Macaca fascicularis: one gene and its partner. The main gene of each other region encodes a partner of the protein of the gene in region 2 in a complex. Links are inferred from orthologs where the notes say so. Each region holds a gene or a part of one and is shown on either strand. Other genes may lie near its edges.

Region 1 (3,500 bases), on a different chromosome or scaffold from region 2:
GAACTGGCGGATCTCAAGGCAGCCATCTTCACTCACTTCTTCCTCATCCTCCGAGTCCATGTGGTGGTATCGCTCTGAGCGGGCTGGGCCAGACATAAAGGACACTTTCCTTCAGAGCCCTGCTGGTGGCCTCCTTGTGACCCCATTAGATTTCAGCAGAGCCCTGAGAAGTTGCTCCCAATGCCAAGTTCAGTGTGCACAGGTGTTTCTAGGCAAACAGGTAGGACCCATACTCCACTCCACACATTGGCGGCCTTACTGTCAAAATAGCTAGTATCGTCCTCTGACTCCAGCTGAGGAATAAATTCAGCTTTCTGGCGGAGAAGTCCTGTCCAGTCCAGACCAGTAAAGAATGGGTGCTGCTTCACCTCATAGGCACTGCCTGTGGAAAGGGAGGGCATGGGCAAGGGGGAAGGATGAGCCGCATGGAGTCCAGGTCAGCAAACCTCGTAAGAAGCCAGACCTTGAGAAGCTATACTCAGGGGGTCAGCTCAAGCATCTTTCCTTCCCTGCCTACAGGGAGCAGGGCAGAGTTTCAGGATCCAGAGGGGCTGCCCATAACTGAAGCCTGAACCTCCAGGGTACATGGACTCAGCCTCCCTTACCCCTTTTCTTTTTTTTTTTTTTTTTTTTTGAGACGGAGTCTCGCTCTGTCACCCAGGCTGGAGTGCAGTGGCCGGATCTCAGCTCACTGCAAGCTCTGCCTCCTGGGTTCATGCCACTCTCCTGCCTCAGCCTCCCGAGTAGCTGGGACTACAGGCGCCCGCCACCTCGCCCGGCTAGTTTTTTGTATTTTTTAGTAGAGACGGGGTTTCACCGTGTTAGCCAGGATGGTCTCGATCTCCTGACCTCGTGATCCGCCCGTCTCGGCCTCCCAAAGTGCTAGGATTACAGGCTTGAGCCACCGCGCCCGGCCCCTTACCCCTTTTCTAAGTAGTGGGAAAAGTTAGCAGGGCCTGCCCTACCTGTGCCCAGTCTCTCCAGAGGGTTCTGGTGGAGCAGTTTGGAGGTGAGGTCCTGGGCGTCTGGGGGCAGTGCATCATCACCCTCAGGCCACACAATCTCATCTGAAGTCATCAGGGGTGAGAGGGAGAGGAGAAATTGTGGGTAGAGTGGAGAGATGTAGAAGAGGTCCCAGGACAATGTAAGGAAAGGAGTCAAAAAGGACCCAGCCCGGAGTCCCTGAATGCCTTGCCTGGGACCCCAGTCTTTAATTTTTTTAGGTTCCTAGACCATGGCTTGATCTATGATCCATGGTGGGCACTGCAAAGCTCTAGCTCACCCTGCTTTTATACTCCACAAAACATACACAGACATACCCCTCACACTTACGGGATGTGCACATACACAGAGAGGAACACACAGGTATATATGGGAGACACGTGAGGCCCTAGGGGACACAGTGTCCACATGTATGTACATGCAGAAACACAGAGACACCCACCCCCAAAGCAGCAGACATCACAAACACATGGTGAGTTCAGAACAAGAGCTCACAGGCCTCATGAGCTGCCTGCATACATCATAGTTGTGAATCCAGACTGTATCCCCACTGGGCCAGCAGGATAGTACCTACCACTGATCACTTGGCCAAAGAGCTCCTCCGGAGTGTCTCCAAAAAAAGGGACGCAGCCCACCAGGAACTCATACAGGATAATGCCCATGGCCCACCAGTCCACCGGCTTCCCATAGCCCTGGCGCAGGATCACCTCAGGCGCAATGTATTCTGGGGTCCCGCATACCTGGGCACAGAAAAGCCAGGCTGGCTCAGCCTCCTGAGGCTGCTCACTGGCATGACAGCGGGAGACGCGGGATGCTCCCACCTCGAACAGAAGAGTCTCTGAATGAAGACTCAGCCCACCTTAGTTAATGAACAAAATCAACAGAAGCCCCAGGGAACAAGAGTCGGAACTGTCAGCAGGTATTTGCTAATTAACAAAACTGTCTCATTCTAGCCCAGAACTACCATCCCTTAAGCCCTCAACACCCACCTCTGGCATCTGATCCCACAATTGGCCTCTGCACTCCAGCCTCTAACAGAACAGACCCTACTGGTTACGTAAGTACTACAGGGACTGGTGAATAGTCACAACCTGAAATGTCAAACCAGGGAACATCCAGAGGCTGCCTCTCAGGACACTGGGCCACAGCCCAATGGAAATTCAAACCTGTGTTCCAAGAACCTCAGGCTCCAGGAGAGCCTTGTCCTTGACTCAGGCTGGGAGATTCGGGACTGACCTCATATGAAACTGTGCTAACAGTTACATGACCTGTTTTCTCCAAACCCTGAGAAGGAAGATGACTTTGGATTTTATATCCATATGATTTTCATGGCTCATCCTGTTTTCCAAATGTGCTACCTATCTCAATGCCTCTCTGGAACCCAAAGGTAGAAAAGATAGGGGTTCCCAATCTTAACATCTAGCTACAAGGTAGGCATATGGCCCCAAGGCCTTATTCAAGGGCCTGGAATCTATGTATGTGTATACAAATGTAGAGATGGGCTCTCACTATGTTGCCGAGGCTGGTCTTGAACTCCTGGCCTCAAGCGATCCTCCTGCCTCAGCCTCCCAAAGGGTTGGAATTACGGGCATGAGCCACTGTGCCAGGACAAGGGCCCAGAATCTACCCTCCAATGTATCAACTATCCTTCCTTACCTGCTTGTCCAGGAATTCCCGGGCATCCTTTTCAATGTGACCCTCATACAAGTTCGTTGTCAGACTCATGAGACCAATTTTGGACAGTCCAAAGTCCGTGAGCTTGATGTGCCCCATTGATGTAATTAGGAGGCTGGGAGACGGGAGAAATAAAATTATGAAGTTATTCCTGGTTTTCTGAGAGCACTGATTTTAGTATATGCCCAATTTCCCCACTCAGGCTTCCATGGGGGTACTGTGAGGCACAAGCCGGGCAGCTTCAGCAGGGGGACAGGCAGGTGTGGACACGTAAATCGCTCTGGCTGTGTGAGTGCTGCATTCTGCACAAGCAACGAACCTGCCTTTTGCCCATTCCCACAACTCCATTTCTGTTCACGGCCCTAACTGTATTCTACATTGGGGGCAGGAGTCATTCAGTTGAACAACAGAGTTTCTTCTACAGAGCTGGGATCAGCCTTATTCTAAGGCTGGAGCCATTCCTAGTCCCCTCTCCCGATCTGAGTGGCCCACAATACTTCTGTTTCAGGGAGAGGGGCAGGGGGCACATAATTTTGTTCCATGTCCATGGCTGGTTTTGGGAGGAGGGTTAGTTGGGAGAAACTAGAACTAAGATTCCTTTATATATTCTGCCTGAGTCACTCATTTTGTGCTGAAGGCTTTACCCTGGCACCCTTTTATTCTAATGACTCCCCAAATAGTACCTCTGGCTGTGACTTCCTTTTTGAGCTCCAGGCCCACCCAACTGCCCATATGTCTTACAGGCAACACAAACTCAATCTGTCTAAAACAAAGTCGTGCCACCCAACTGGTTCTCCTCCTCAGTGAAAAACAGTAATTTCGGT
Region 2 (4,104 bases):
TCCGACTGTGGCCCGTGTATCCTTCCACCCCCTTTTGAACCCTCCTAGGTCTCCTTGCCCCGCCCACTCGCTGGGCTGCAGCTTCCTACCGTTCCGTACTTTCCACTCAACCTGGTAACCCCGAACGTGCATGGTCTGGCCGGGGCGCGTGGAGCCTGGCCCCGGGCGATCCATCCCGCCGGGTTTTCACGGAGGCCAAGGGGGGGCGGGGCTAGGTGGTCTCTAAGAACCGAGCTTGAGTCCGACGCGGCGAACTGACTTGGAGCCCGAGGGGGAGAGATGCTCTAGTCTCCTAGGGGCACCGGAGCGGGCGCAGGAGAGGGCTGCGGGGTGCGTCCTACTCACGGGGATCCTCTTTCAGTTCATTTAGATAGGTGCCCTTTGGGCTCTGGAAATTCAACGGCGATGTGTTCACGTTCAGCACGCTCGGCTGAGAGCTTTCATTTTTAGGGCAAACAAGCCGAGTTACCGGGGAAGCGAGAGGTGGGGCGCTACAAGGGAGCCGGATGAGGTGATGCACGCTGGAAACACAATAGCAGGTTGCTCTTTGTGCTAAGACTGACATCCTGAGGACACAGGGTTGGGGAAAGGAGGAATCTCTAGGCAAAGGCTGCTACAGTCAAATCTCTGCGAACGACTGTGATCGACAGCGATGCAAAAGAGCGAATGCAGTCCACGCCGCGGAAATCCAGGGGCAGAGGCAGGGGGGAGGGTATTACCCTTGCAAGGACCGTCCCTGCATTTCCCTGTATACTGACCAGCGTGGTCACCTGGTCCTTTCCACCTGTGCACAGGTAACCTGAGACTCGAGTCAGTGACACTGCTCAACGCACCCATCTCAGCTTTCATCATCAGTCCTCCACCCCCGCCCCGCAACAGCCTACCCTGCCTCCGGCTGGGTTTCTGGGCAGAGGCCGAGGCTTAGCTCGTTATCCTCGCCTCGCGCTGCTGCAAAAGCAGCCGCGGCAAGTGCAGTTGCAGGCTGGCGGCTCGGAACCGGCCCGAGCGAGCTCTAGGCAGCCACACTGGGCATGCTCAGTAGAGCCTACGGCTTGGGGGCTTTGCGCTCGCACCCGGAGCTACCGCTTCTGTCCCCGCCTACCGCCCCCTGCCCTGCCCTCCCCTCGCCCGGCACGGTCCAGTCCGCCTCTCGTTCAGCTCCCGCCTCCCCTCGGTCTCCCGAGGAGCCCGGGCTCCCGGCGCGGCGGCGGAGGGGGCGGGCAGGCCGGCGGGCGGTGATGTGGCGGGACTCTTTATGCACTGCGGCAGGATACGCGCTCGGGCGCCGGGACGCGGCTGCGCTCAGTTCTCTCCTCTCGGAAGCTGCAGCCATGATGGAAGTTTGAGAGTTGAGCCGCTGTGAGGCGAGGCCGGGCTCAGGCGAGGGAGATGAGAGACGGCGGCGGCCGCGGCCCGGAGCCCCTCTCAGCGCCTGTGAGCAGCCGCGGGGGCAGCGCCCTCGGGGAGCCGGCCGGCCTGCGGCGGCGGCAGCGGCGGCGTTTCTCGCCTCCTCTTCGTCTTTTCTAACCGTGCAGCCGCTTCCTCGGCTTCTCTTGAAGGGGAAGGTGGAAGCCGTGGGCTCGGGCGGGAGCCGGCTGAGGCGCGGCGGCGGCGGCGGCACCTCCCGCTCCTGGAGCGGGGGGGAGAAGCGGCGGCCGCGGCGGCCGCGGCGGCTGCAGCTCCAGGGAGGGGGTCTGAGTCGCCTGTCACCATTTCCAGGGCTGGGAACGCCGGAGAGTTGGTCTCTCCCCTTCTACTGCCTCCAACACGGCGGCGGCGGCGGCGGCACATCCAGGGACCCGGGCCGGTTTTAAACCTCCCCTCCGCCGCCGCCGCACCCCCCGTGGCCCGGGCTCCGGAGGCCGCCGGAGGAGGCAGCCGTTCCGAGGATTATTCGTCTTCTCCCCATTCCGCTGCCGCTGCTGCCAGGCCTCTGGCTGCTGAGGAGAAGCAGGCCCAGTCGCTGCAACCATCCAGCAGCCGCCGCAGCAGCCATTACCCGGCTGCGGTCCAGAGCCAAGCGGCGGCAGAGCGAGGGGCATCAGCTACCGCCAAGTCCAGAGCCATTTCCATCCTGCAGAAGAAGCCCCGCCACCAGCAGCTTCTGCCATCTCTCTCCTCCTTTTTCTTCAGCCACAGGCTCCCAGACATGACAGCCATCATCAAAGAGATCGTTAGCAGAAACAAAAGGAGATATCAAGAGGATGGATTCGACTTAGACTTGACCTGTATCCATTTCTGCGGCTGCTCCTCTTTGCCTTTCTGTCACTCTCTTAGAACGTGGGAGTAGACGGATGCGAAAATGTCCCTAGTTTGGGCGACTATAACATTTAACCCTGGTCGGGTTGCTAGGTCATATATTTTGTGTTTCTTTTCTTGTATTCAACCTAGGGTGTGTTCGGCTAGACAGAACTCTTGCCTGGTTGCAAGTGTCGAGGCACCGATTGCTTGCTTAGGCTGTCTATACGGTCTCTTCCTGAGGGCTATTGTCCGTTAATACAGAATACAGTATGCTGTTAGTGGATTAGAGAGCTCGGTAATCCGGTCTCCTAAATGAACAAAAAAGTAGACGCTTTGAGGTTGAGCATATTTCGATTAAATCTTGGCTTAGGCCCTAGATCAAGGGTTTAGATCAGAATAAAATGAAAATTAGTGTTGCACGTATGCATATTGCATCAGAATCTTGCAGTGATTGTTTTAGTTTCCTGGGTTGCATTGATAGATTCTTTTAAAATATGACTGATTTGCATAACTTTAGAAGCAGAATAATTTTCAGTATATATGGTGCACATTGAGTGCAAAAAGTAGTTTTGTTAATGTTTTACACTTAAGTTACAACTTTGGACTGTATTTAGAAGTTTTGTAGTTTGAAATCAATAATGCCATAATATACCTTATAAGGCGTTCTTACTAGATCTTTGTTATATTTACCTTTTTCTCTCCCTATGGGATGATGTAGGATAGGGCTTGAAATTTGCACTTCAGTAGCGTTTAATGTTCAGTGCTCTTGTCATAAACATGGAATGGATATTGAGTAGTTTTTGATCCCAGATGACAATGTGTAGGTTCAAGGGTATTGTGTGTGGCAAGTGAAGATTGCAAAGATAAAACTTCAGTTCATGCTTGAAATTTAAGTATTGTGATGCCAGAATTGCTGCTCACCGTTTTTAGATTTCAGGTTCTCTGACATCTTTTGGTACTGTTAATTTCACTGATTTGTGTAGAATGTCAAGTGAATTTTACCAGCTAATATCCAGAAATGCTGGCAAGAGAAGTTTACTCCAGCTTTAGATTGTAGGTATGTTAGCTTTTTTCATACAGTGTATTAAATTTACTGAGTCAGCTTGTTGAATAAGACAGAAGCCCAAGAATTTTAACAGTGTATAGCTTTAGTTGTCTAAAAGTTAGGCCTTCGGGCTTCAAAAGTTAGTGGTCATCGAAAAGCATGAATCTTTGCAGTTTCAGGTACAACAGACTGGTTTTGATTAGGGATGGGGATGGGGCCCTCATTTTGCAGAATGGAAAGTATTGACAGGAATTGAGAGCTATTGGTAGGCCAGTGTATAAGGTATGTGAAAACAGAAGTTATTGGTCTGAAGTGACTGAAGCATTTAGGCTCTATCAAGGCCTAAAATTTGGTAATATGAGTTTGGTAATGCGAATTGTGGCAGTGGACAATATTTAGTTAAAATTATGTAATTGCATAAGTACTAGCAAAGTATTTTTAATAAAAATTATTTCTTAGCAAGTATCAGTTGCATTTTGTCTAAAGGTAGCGTGACACTGCAGTGTCTATATGTCCTGCTAAAAATTGTGGGGAAGATTTTTTTTTAAGACAACGTTTATATCGGGAGAGGTTTTATTCCCTTGGATTATGTTAGCTGCATATACATGTGCACAGTTAATTTTGCCCAAGTTTTTGTTTTGAAATGAATATAAAACTTACTGAAGAAGTAGCCTCCCAAAATTTAGTTTTCTGTTAAGTCAGTAATATTATTTTAAAACAGTATTTGCAAATTTTGAAGTTGGCATTAATTGAAAATGTTACTAAGGCTAAACTGGAAGATAAAAATGTTACTAAGGCTAAACCCGCTTGCCCAGAAG

The links.
Region 1: the proteins of PTEN (region 2) and MAST2 are in contact, whole or in part, in an NMR structure (PDB 2KYL), measured with the Homo sapiens proteins. The link is inferred for Macaca fascicularis from reciprocal best matches to the Homo sapiens genes PTEN and MAST2. Residues at the interface, in NP_000305.3 of Homo sapiens: Pro391, Phe392, Asp393, Glu394, Asp395, Gln396, His397, Thr398, Gln399, Ile400, Thr401, Lys402, Val403; in NP_055927.2 of Homo sapiens: Lys1112, Lys1113, Tyr1114, Gly1115, Phe1116, Thr1117, Leu1118, Arg1119, Ala1120, Ile1121, Arg1122, Val1123, Tyr1124, Met1136, Trp1138, Glu1141, His1170, Val1174, Ile1177, Leu1178, Leu1191.

Annotation. Positions count from the first base shown.
Region 1 is NC_088375.1:188,661,993-188,665,492, forward strand, and holds part of MAST2 (microtubule-associated serine/threonine-protein kinase 2), read right to left. Parts: intron 2,792-3,500; coding exon 2,659-2,791; intron 1,743-2,658; coding exon 1,577-1,742; intron 1,068-1,576; coding exon 966-1,067; intron 383-965; coding exon 260-382; intron 84-259; coding exon 1-83. UniProt on the Homo sapiens protein: Appears to link the dystrophin/utrophin network with microtubule filaments via the syntrophins. Phosphorylation of DMD or UTRN may modulate their affinities for associated proteins. Functions in a multi-protein complex in spermatid maturation.
Region 2 is NC_088383.1:96,734,538-96,738,641, forward strand, and holds the start of PTEN (phosphatidylinositol 3,4,5-trisphosphate 3-phosphatase and dual-specificity protein phosphatase PTEN), read left to right. Parts: upstream 1-1,304; 5' UTR 1,305-2,149; coding exon 2,150-2,228; intron 2,229-4,104. Other genes in the region: KLLN (killin), read right to left, coding at 1-174. UniProt on the Homo sapiens protein: Dual-specificity protein phosphatase, dephosphorylating tyrosine-, serine- and threonine-phosphorylated proteins.